Neurospora crassa OR74A: one gene and its partner. The protein of the gene in region 1 interacts with the protein of each later gene in a pairwise test. Links are inferred from orthologs where the notes say so. Each region holds a gene or a part of one and is shown on either strand. Other genes may lie near its edges.

Region 1 (4,408 bases):
TGCGCGATCTGCCAAACGTGCGTGTCGATGGGAACAGACTCGCCCCACCCGAGACCCATTAGACACACACAATCCGACACCTTGGGGCCAACACCCGGCAGAGTCAACAGAGCTTCATGAGCCTTCTGGTAGGTCGGTGGGTTGTCCAAGTCAGCCTTGGATTCAACAGACTCCTTCTCTTCTGCCCCTTCTTCCTTCTTCACTAAAATATCCTCCTCAGCCGCTCTCAACGCAGGAACACCCGGATTCCTCAACCTCAGCAACCACCTCTCCCCATAAACCTGCGCCACACACCCCGCCGTCTCAGCAATGTACTTGGCCCTATAACCAAAGCCCAGCTCCCTCAGATGGGCCTCGACCCCTTCCCCCGCCAACGCCTCCGGCCCGGGGAAATCATGAAACGCTTCTCCCTCCACGGTGGCCACATAAGGACCGTAGTGCGTACACAGCTTCAGCACCATCTGGCTGATGCGCGAAATGTTGTTGTTGCTGCTGCAGATGAAGGAGATCAGCGTCTCCCATGCGTCCTGGTTAAGGATGCGGATCCCCGTGAAAGCGGGCGCACGCCGGGCGAAGTTGGCATCTGAAAGAGACCATTGGGCGTAAAGGGTAGTGAGAGAGTGAGAGAGGGCAAAGTAGTTGTGGAGGAGGACGGACGTGTCGTCTTCGAAGTCCTGGGGGTGTTCATTTTTGGGAGTTGCTGTACTGGTAGGCCATGTCACTTTGTAGTGAAGATGGGTGGGATCTTGTTTTAGGGAGATGAGACGGCCTTTGAGGACGCAGTGCCTGGAAAACTGTTAGGACTTGATACTTTGAACAGAGAAGAAATAAAAAGAAAAAAAGTAAGATAGTGGTGTGCATTCGGACCATTGTTCATTTATCTTGCGCCATCTAAAGGACTGGCCGCATCGGAGTGTGGTTTCGATGCAGAGCTCTGTGAGACTGATAGGCAGTTTGCGCCATTCTGTCACTTTCTGGGATGCCATATCGTATTTATTAAAAACTCTTAGACTTTGCAGATAAGACAAAAAGGATATAAGGGTCTTCTATAGAGGCTTGATGTGAAATTCTTTGTCTCCATCCCTTATTATGCAGGTAGATTGATTATCACTTTTGTTTCTCATGGACCCAAAATCCCAACCCGGATTTGATGGGGGGCAATGCACTGGGGCTGCAAATGCCCTGCGGTGGTGGTTACCTATCTGCTGGAACTAAGGTACCTCTACAGGGGCAATTCCTCTTCAGTTGTTGCCACGCCATTGCAGGGCGTCAAACTTCCCGGTGTGGATGGGTCAGTGGAACCGAATCGCACGGAAACATAGCGCGCTAAGCCGAAAGAGGATCAAGCGCCCTCTGCAGTAACAACGGCTACTGGAAAAGTTGCAGCCTCGCGATCGACGAGACTCGCAATTGGAAGCTAGGTCAAGCAAAGCCACTTTCCTTTTCATCAAACACCCTCAGAACATTTTCCTGCTTCTTTGGTGCAACCATCTCGTATCACCTCTTTTATACTTAACGAGATTTGTGTTGACCATGAACGGGGACACCTATTCCTCCAGAGGTATGTTGGCACTGACCGTGGCTATCCGCTAGAACTCAACTTAACCGTGGCGAAACAGACAGCGGCCGACACGGTTCGTCTCGCGACTATCCGGTAAGTGTGCCTCGTATACAAACCTAACAGCGGTCTTTTCTGTGGGCCTAAGCTAACCTATTATCAGTCCTCGAGACGCGACCGCGATGACAGACGTGACCGTGGAGATCGCAGTGACCGAGGCAGTGGACGCAGACGCTCTCGCTCTCCCGCCGACTACCGGAGCAGCCGACCCCGTCGCGAAGACGGCGATTTTGACGCTTATTCATCGAGCCGCAGCCACCGCGACCGCGAGCGAGAAGATCGATACTCTGGCCGCGACCGTCGTGGACCCGATCGTGGTGATAGGGAGTGGGATCGTGACAGGGGCGCCGACCGTGGAGCCGACCGTGGAGCCGACCGTGGTGCGGATCGTGGCGCTGACCGCGGGGCCGAGCGTGGAGGTCGCAGCCGGAGGGACGATGACGAAGGCGGCCGTCGCCGGGACAGAGATCGTGACGTGATGGGAGATGATCGCCGCGGTGGAGGCAGAAGGGACCGAGAGGCGGACAGGGAGCGCAGGAGGAGTGTCTCGCCGCCCCCCAAAAAGAGGGAACCGACACCCGACTTGACCGATGTCGTTCCTGTTATAGAGCGCAAGAGGCGCATGACACAGTGGGATATCAAGCCTCCCGGATATGGCAACGTCACCGCGGAGCAGGCCAAGCTCTCGGGTATGTTCCCATTACCTGGCGCCCCGCGACAACAGGCCATGGACCCGACCAAGCTTCAGGCTTTCATGACCCAGCCAGGTGGAGCTGTCAACAGTGCTGCCCTTAAGCCTACGAACTCCCGCCAGAGCAAACGACTTATTGTCTCGAATATCCCACCGTCAGCCACCGACGAGAGCCTGTTGGGCTTTTTCAACCTTCAGCTCAATGGCCTAAATGTAATCGACAGCGCCGATCCTTGCGTCCAGTGCCAAATATCTCCCGATCACAGCTTCGCCATGCTTGAGTTTAGGAACAGCCCGGATGCTACAGTCGCTCTGGCCCTTGACGGTATCACCATGGAGGCCGAGGATGCCAATGGTGCTGCTGGTGCCGGTGGGCTCAAGATCCGTAGGCCGAAGGACTACATCGTACCCGCAATTGTCGAGGACCCCAACTACGACCCTGATTCAGAGGTGCCTTCCAGCATTGTCATCGACAGCCCTAACAAGATCAGCGTCACCAACATCCCTGCATATTTGAGCGAAGAGCAAATCATGGAGCTCCTGGTTGCCTTTGGCAAGCTCAAGTCCTTTGTGTTGGTTAAGGATAAGCATACGGAGGAGTCAAGGGTGAGCCTAATGGTCCTTTCTACCAACGAGCGCACATGCTAACATGTCCTAGGGTATCGCATTCTGCGAGTATCACGATTCTTCGGTCACATCTGTTGCTATTGACGGCCTCAACAACATGATGCTGGGCGATAGGGCGCTGAAGGTTCAAAAGGCCAGCTATGGCATTCAACAGGTAGCTGGAGAACTGAGTGTGAACGCCATGTCCATGCTTGCTGGTACCACTTCCTTGGATGGCGACGTCAGCAGGGTCGTGCAGCTCCTGAACATGGTTACAGCGGATGAGCTGATGGACAACGACGATTACGAAGGTTTGTTCAGCGTTTCTGTCACTACACATGTTCAAGATGCTAACGTGTGCTTTCAAGAAATTCGCGACGACGTCCAGGAAGAATGCGAGAAGTTCGGAACTATTGTTTCCCTAAAGATTCCCAGACCCACTGGCGGAAGCAGGCAGTCTGCTGGTGTTGGCAAGATTTTCATCAAATACGAGAATTCCGACCAAGCAACAAAGGCCCTCAAAGCTTTGGCGGGCAGGAAGTTTGCTGACCGCACGGTGGTTGCGACATACTTCCCTGAGGTTAGTTTCATCAGCTTTGCTCTGATTTGCTTCGCTCGTTTATACTGATAAATCCTACAGGAGAACTTTGATGTCAACGCCTGGTAAAAGACGATAGGCAGTAGGAGAAGGGATATGTTTGACTGTACTGAAAGGAAGAACAGTAGTCGTGCATGGTATAGCGTGATCTGTTGATTGACAACGAGGAAACAATCAGAACGTCATTAGTATCAAGGTTCGGTCATTTCCTCGAAGTTATCGTTGGGATCTCAGCGGCGTGTACAGAAGTTAATGGGATTTCAGCCGCGGTACAGTCAGGGCGCTCAAAAACAGAGGATACAACATCAATACACTCAGAAGTGTATTTTGATTACATGCCGAAGGTTTACAAATACATCATCGATCGGCACAAGGGAAGTTGCATTGGGATCACTTGTTTATCATTATCTTAGTCTAAATGTCCGGGGTCGCCAACCAACGCCCGCGACAATGAACTCAGTTTGCATGCCATGGCGACCGCACAGTCTCGAGCTTAAAAATTGGTACCTAGGTCTGAAGGAACGTTAGCCTGAGCACGACTCGAATTATGCAATAACAAGACGAGTGCGAAAGCTAAAGTTTCAGAAGTCCGTTTAATTCATCAAGTCCCAAAAAGGAACTTTAACATAAGAGGTACCAGAATAAAGTATAAAGTGTGTATCATCAGGATAAGGAGGCTCGGAAAAAAGGTAGAGGGAGCAGTGAGAAGCTTACCAAAGTGAATAGGATACCAGGTCGACCGTTATGATGCTAATTCCCGAAGTTTGACAGGACTGCGATCAGGCATGTCTCTGGAGATCATGGCCGAATGCTGTCGAGCAACTTGGTCCAAACGGGCAAACGGCCGACCTGGCGATGATCGGAGGAAGATTCTAAGTGCAAGCCTCACGAAAAA
Region 2 (4,454 bases), about 3.2 Mb from region 1:
TGGCTGCAGGTGCAGTGGCAGGGCAGCCAAAGTAATATTCAAATAATGGAACCTATAATAGGGTGTAGAGAGCGGGAGAAATCGCAGAAAGGTGTAGGTTAGAAGAGAGGGTGGGGGGGAGGAAACAAGGAAACCGAACCGGTCTCCTTGGAAGGTGTTACAGCAAAGGTACACAGAAGTTGGACCTGTGCTTCCGTGAGTAACTGGATGTTTGGGGGAAAAACAGAACGGAGACGAGAGACCGGAGATGAAGAGAGGGAATAAAAACAACAACAACAAAAAAAAACACTAGCGGACGGAGTGACGAGACTGAATGCTTTTGAGGATGGAAGCCGCGCAACCCCCAGCTGGGAAATGGCTAAAAAGGGTCCCACGCAGCTCAAGTGTGGAGGTGTCCAAGCCTCTTTCAGCTTGCTGCTCGTGCTGGTGCAAGCTGCTATTGTTGCTCTCCACGGCCTCTCCACGCAGCCTCCCAACACTCCTATTGGCCGCGTCCTGGCGTTCTGGAACTGGAGATGCCTGCCAGCCAGAACCTCCAGGGACACCCGTGGACATCCCGGGCGCTCTGTCTACACTACATAGTAGAGGTACCTACCCAGCTACCTACGTGTGGTGAGATGGCCAAGTAAAACCCGTGGGCCAGGTCGCTGACGATCGTTGACCATACCGCAGTGCCCTATACAAAACCACGAAGGGGCTTCGTTTGCCGAGCTACTTAGAGGTACCCTATGGTGGTGTGTGCGCGGTAGTTGACGAAGGGGTTCCATTTACTTTCGCTCGCAACCACAGTACGACCTTCTAAGGAGAGCTTCCATTCACGCTTTGCCTCGCAATTCACACTGCTTCGAATCGATATGGAGATGTGGTAGCCAGCCACCCAGCCAATTGGGAAACGACGGATCGAACGCTAGTAGGGACACAGTACGTCAGAAGGTCGAGCTCCGCTCCCATCGAATGAATGGCGGTCCACAAGCAATGGTACCGAAGTCTGAGCTTAAGGTGTGATCCTTGGAAGCGGCCTGGACGGCGGGTTGGGGCTGGGGGGAAGAGTGCAACACTCAAAATTTGGAGATGCGCTCCAAGACTCCCAGCTTGTCTCGCTTGCGTGGCTTCATTGTCGTGCACCTAGCTAGAACCTAGAGGCAGCCCAAGTGGCAATTAGCCCATATTATATACTCTCATTTCTCCTCTAGAATCACCAATATCCACGAGGTATTTTACCGGCAGTTGTGCCAGCTAGGTAAAGTGTTATAACATTGAGGTCTCGGCATTAATGGCCAAAATATGGGAGCTTAACAGCGGTGCTAACCCAGGCAAGAGCTTCCAGTCAGTAGAGGTATGTAATGAAGGGACCTACCTACCTACGTGCCCCGCAGATCCCAGTCCACTTATCGCTGCGCTTGCACTTGCCGGCTGAAATGTGCATGCTTTAGGCCGTGACTTGCTCCGAGTCAACAGGATCGCCAAAGCGATCACAGGGAACAGCGAAGCGCTGACAGGTCAGAGATAAAAGTTCGGCGGGCAAAAGGAAGAGGACAGAGATATAATGCGGACAAGTATTCTTTGTCTATTTCCACCAAAAGTGTGTGCTGCTGTAAAATCGTCCTCAAGATGCGTATGTCTGTTTCCGAGACCCCTTACCGGCCACAGAGTATCATCTCTAGGTATTACACCTCACCTCTATCGAATCCTGACGCCCCGAATCTGACGCCGACTTGATTCGGTCATCGCATCTACATCAAAGTTAATTTCAAGTATACAACCATGAACCCGCCGACAATCAAGGCTATCCAGTCTCTCGATTTGCTTCTTCAAGCAGATCACGCTCCGCACTCCATCACAGTTTGGATTCTGATTTCTTAATTCCAGCGTGCGATAATCCACGGCCATCTACGACCTTTACGCCTCAGGAGGCCACCGCATCGACAAATCGGCTGTTCACTAATAAACAGATCCCTGTCGCAAATCTCCCAACGCAGGGGTCTCGAAAGTGCCCGAGATAGACGAAGAATTCCCCTTTCTGGGTTGCCAACATGTGAACAAGGATAAAGCGACATCATCTCACCCAACGAAGGCCACCACTACAACGAACCTCACGCGACAATTGACAAATTATCTCCGGGCCTATCACCCGACTTGATATGAAAACTTTGAGACTGGCCTGCAACCAAGGGTCTGGCCACACAAAGACCATTCAGCCATCGTTGGGACCGTCAAGATCGGTGTTGGCTGTCCGGTAGCCAAAGTCCAAACAACTACAACACGACAAAACCGGGACACCGTCACAAAAAAAAAAAGAGGATTGGACGACACCCTCATCTCTGGTAGGCCACGTTCACCTATCTACCAAGTTAAAACACGCAAGAAGATTCAGCCGTGATGCACAGAAACGCAATCACTCCACGTGTGAGGTTGGACAAACGCTCACCAGTGGTTGCCCGCAACCGAGCCACGTCTCTTTAGTTTTCAGATTTCAACAGTACAATTTGCGCTCCCTGGATCAACAATCAGGCCTCGAGGATAACCGGAGATGGCAACTCCTTTTGACTGACTGTCATTGAGCTACTCGTCTGGTCGAAAAACGGGAAAGCAATTCATTTCCCACTGAGACTTGAGACTTAACACCTACGTATGTTCTTGACCGAATGCACAGGTGTGTCGTTGTTACAATGTTTCGTGTCCGGATCTTGTGTCATACCCACAATCTCCTACCCGCACCCGACGATAACGGATTGAGTGCTGGGCTCCATATATTTTCGTCGGGGTTTACTGGCTTTCGGTTCGCTGTGACTTGACTGACGACCGGCCCGGCCGTCCCGCGGAAGTATCGCCGATTTCAACAGCTGATGTCGTGTCTCGAGCTTGCCGGTCGCCGGGTCTGTTATATGATTCCGGCGCCGATGAGTTTCTCGAGGGCAACCGCTGATTGGGCAGAAACGTTGGATGACATCCGAGTATGCATGGTGATTTTACCTAGGCATTACTGCATGACGGGATTGCGCAGCAATCTAACGACGTCAAAGTAAATGTTTTGCGATATAGTTGTCCATGAATACTGTAGAGCGTAAACAGTGAAATTCGCGGATGACATATGCAGTATGCGACTTTTACGGCCACATTACCCGTAGCAACTTCTGGACGATGCCATGTGTTGTATGTTCGACAACCAGCCCCCATTTACTTGTCAGCCTCGCAGCCAAAGGCAACAACACTATTGGTCAAAAGCTTTAGTCAGCCACACCCATGTGGCGAAAGCTAGACGCGACTGAGGCGACGCGGCTGGGTTCAGTTTTCCACGACAGATTGATTTCATGTGCGACAACGCCGATTCTCAAATTCACCAACGTCGTAGCAACCAGGCGACCGGGACCATCCAGCATTTCTCGAAAACTGCGATTCGATCAACGATATTCTTCGAAAACTTTTTTTTCGCAAACGCAACCCAACGGTCTTGCTCACGAACGACGAACGAATACCCTCGACATTCATCAAACCGAGCAGACTTAACAAACCGACTCGACTTTTCGCCATCTCCCTCCTTCTGACAACGGACTATTGCATTGAGAGTTCTCCTAGCCTACCCATCACACAACCCATCAAATCCCCCATACGCAGCCTCGCCATCACAGCGAGATAAGAAAGAAAAAAAACAAGTCAACAAAATGGCCAACTTTCTCGCCTCCATCTTCGGCACTGAGCAAGACAAAGTCAACTGCTCGTTCTATTACAAGATCGGCGCCTGCCGCCACGGCGACCGGTGCTCCCGCAAACACGTCAAACCCAGCTACTCGCAAACGATCCTGATGCCGAACCTGTACCACAACCCCGCCTTCGACCCCAAGAACCGGATGAACGCGTCGCAGCTGCAGAACCACTTCGACGCCTTCTACGAGGACATCTGGTGCGAGATGTGCAAGTACGGCGAGCTGGAGGAGCTGGTGGTGTGCGACAACAACAACGACCACCTGATCGGCAACGTGTACGCGCGGTTCAAGTACGAGGACTCAGCCCAAAAAGCGTGCGACGATCTGAACTCTCGCTGGTACGCTGCTCGGCCGATTTATTGCGAACTCAGCCCCGTGACGGATTTCCGCGAGGCCTGCTGCCGTTTGAACTCTGGCGAGGGTTGTGTCCGTGGAGGGTTTTGTAACTTTATACACCGCAAGAACCCCAGCCCGGAGCTGGAGAGGGAGCTCGAGCTCAGCACCAAGAAGTGGCTCAAGATGAGACCGCGGAGCCGCAGCCCGACGCGCTCGCCCAGCCCGGAACCGACTAGGAGACGGTATTAGGAGTTGCGGTGTTTCATGCTGGACAGAGTTGACGGTGGAGGACGGACGGCGATGCGAAACAGACATGGGGGTGTTGTAGTTTTTTTTTCCACGAACCAGAGAAACGAGAAGAGAAGACAGAGGTCGGTCCTGGCTCAGTGACTGGAAGTCAATGTCAAGAGGCAG

What was found.
Region 2: the proteins of NCU03039 (region 1) and NCU03261 interact in a two-hybrid assay, tested with the Schizosaccharomyces pombe proteins (7 studies listed by BioGRID). The link is inferred for Neurospora crassa OR74A from reciprocal best matches to the Schizosaccharomyces pombe genes prp2 and uaf2.

The regions. Positions count from the first base shown.
Region 1 is NC_026501.1:8,349,201-8,353,608, forward strand, and holds NCU03039 (splicing factor u2af large subunit), read left to right. Parts: upstream 1-1,396; 5' UTR 1,397-1,533; coding exon 1,534-1,561; intron 1,562-1,619; coding exon 1,620-1,654; intron 1,655-1,721; coding exon 1,722-2,915; intron 2,916-2,967; coding exon 2,968-3,226; intron 3,227-3,283; coding exon 3,284-3,495; intron 3,496-3,555; coding exon 3,556-3,582; 3' UTR 3,583-4,252; downstream 4,253-4,408. Other genes in the region: NCU03040 (N-glycosylase/DNA lyase), read right to left, coding at 1-786, 868-986. UniProt on the Schizosaccharomyces pombe protein: Necessary for the splicing of pre-mRNA. The SF1-U2AF59-U2AF23 complex has a role in the recognition of the branch site (5'-UACUAAC-3'), the pyrimidine tract and the 3'-splice site at the 3'-end of introns.
Region 2 is NC_026501.1:5,112,587-5,117,040, reverse strand, and holds the start of NCU03261 (splicing factor U2AF 23 kDa subunit), read left to right. Parts: upstream 1-1,403; 5' UTR 1,404-3,662; coding exon 3,663-4,289; 3' UTR 4,290-4,454.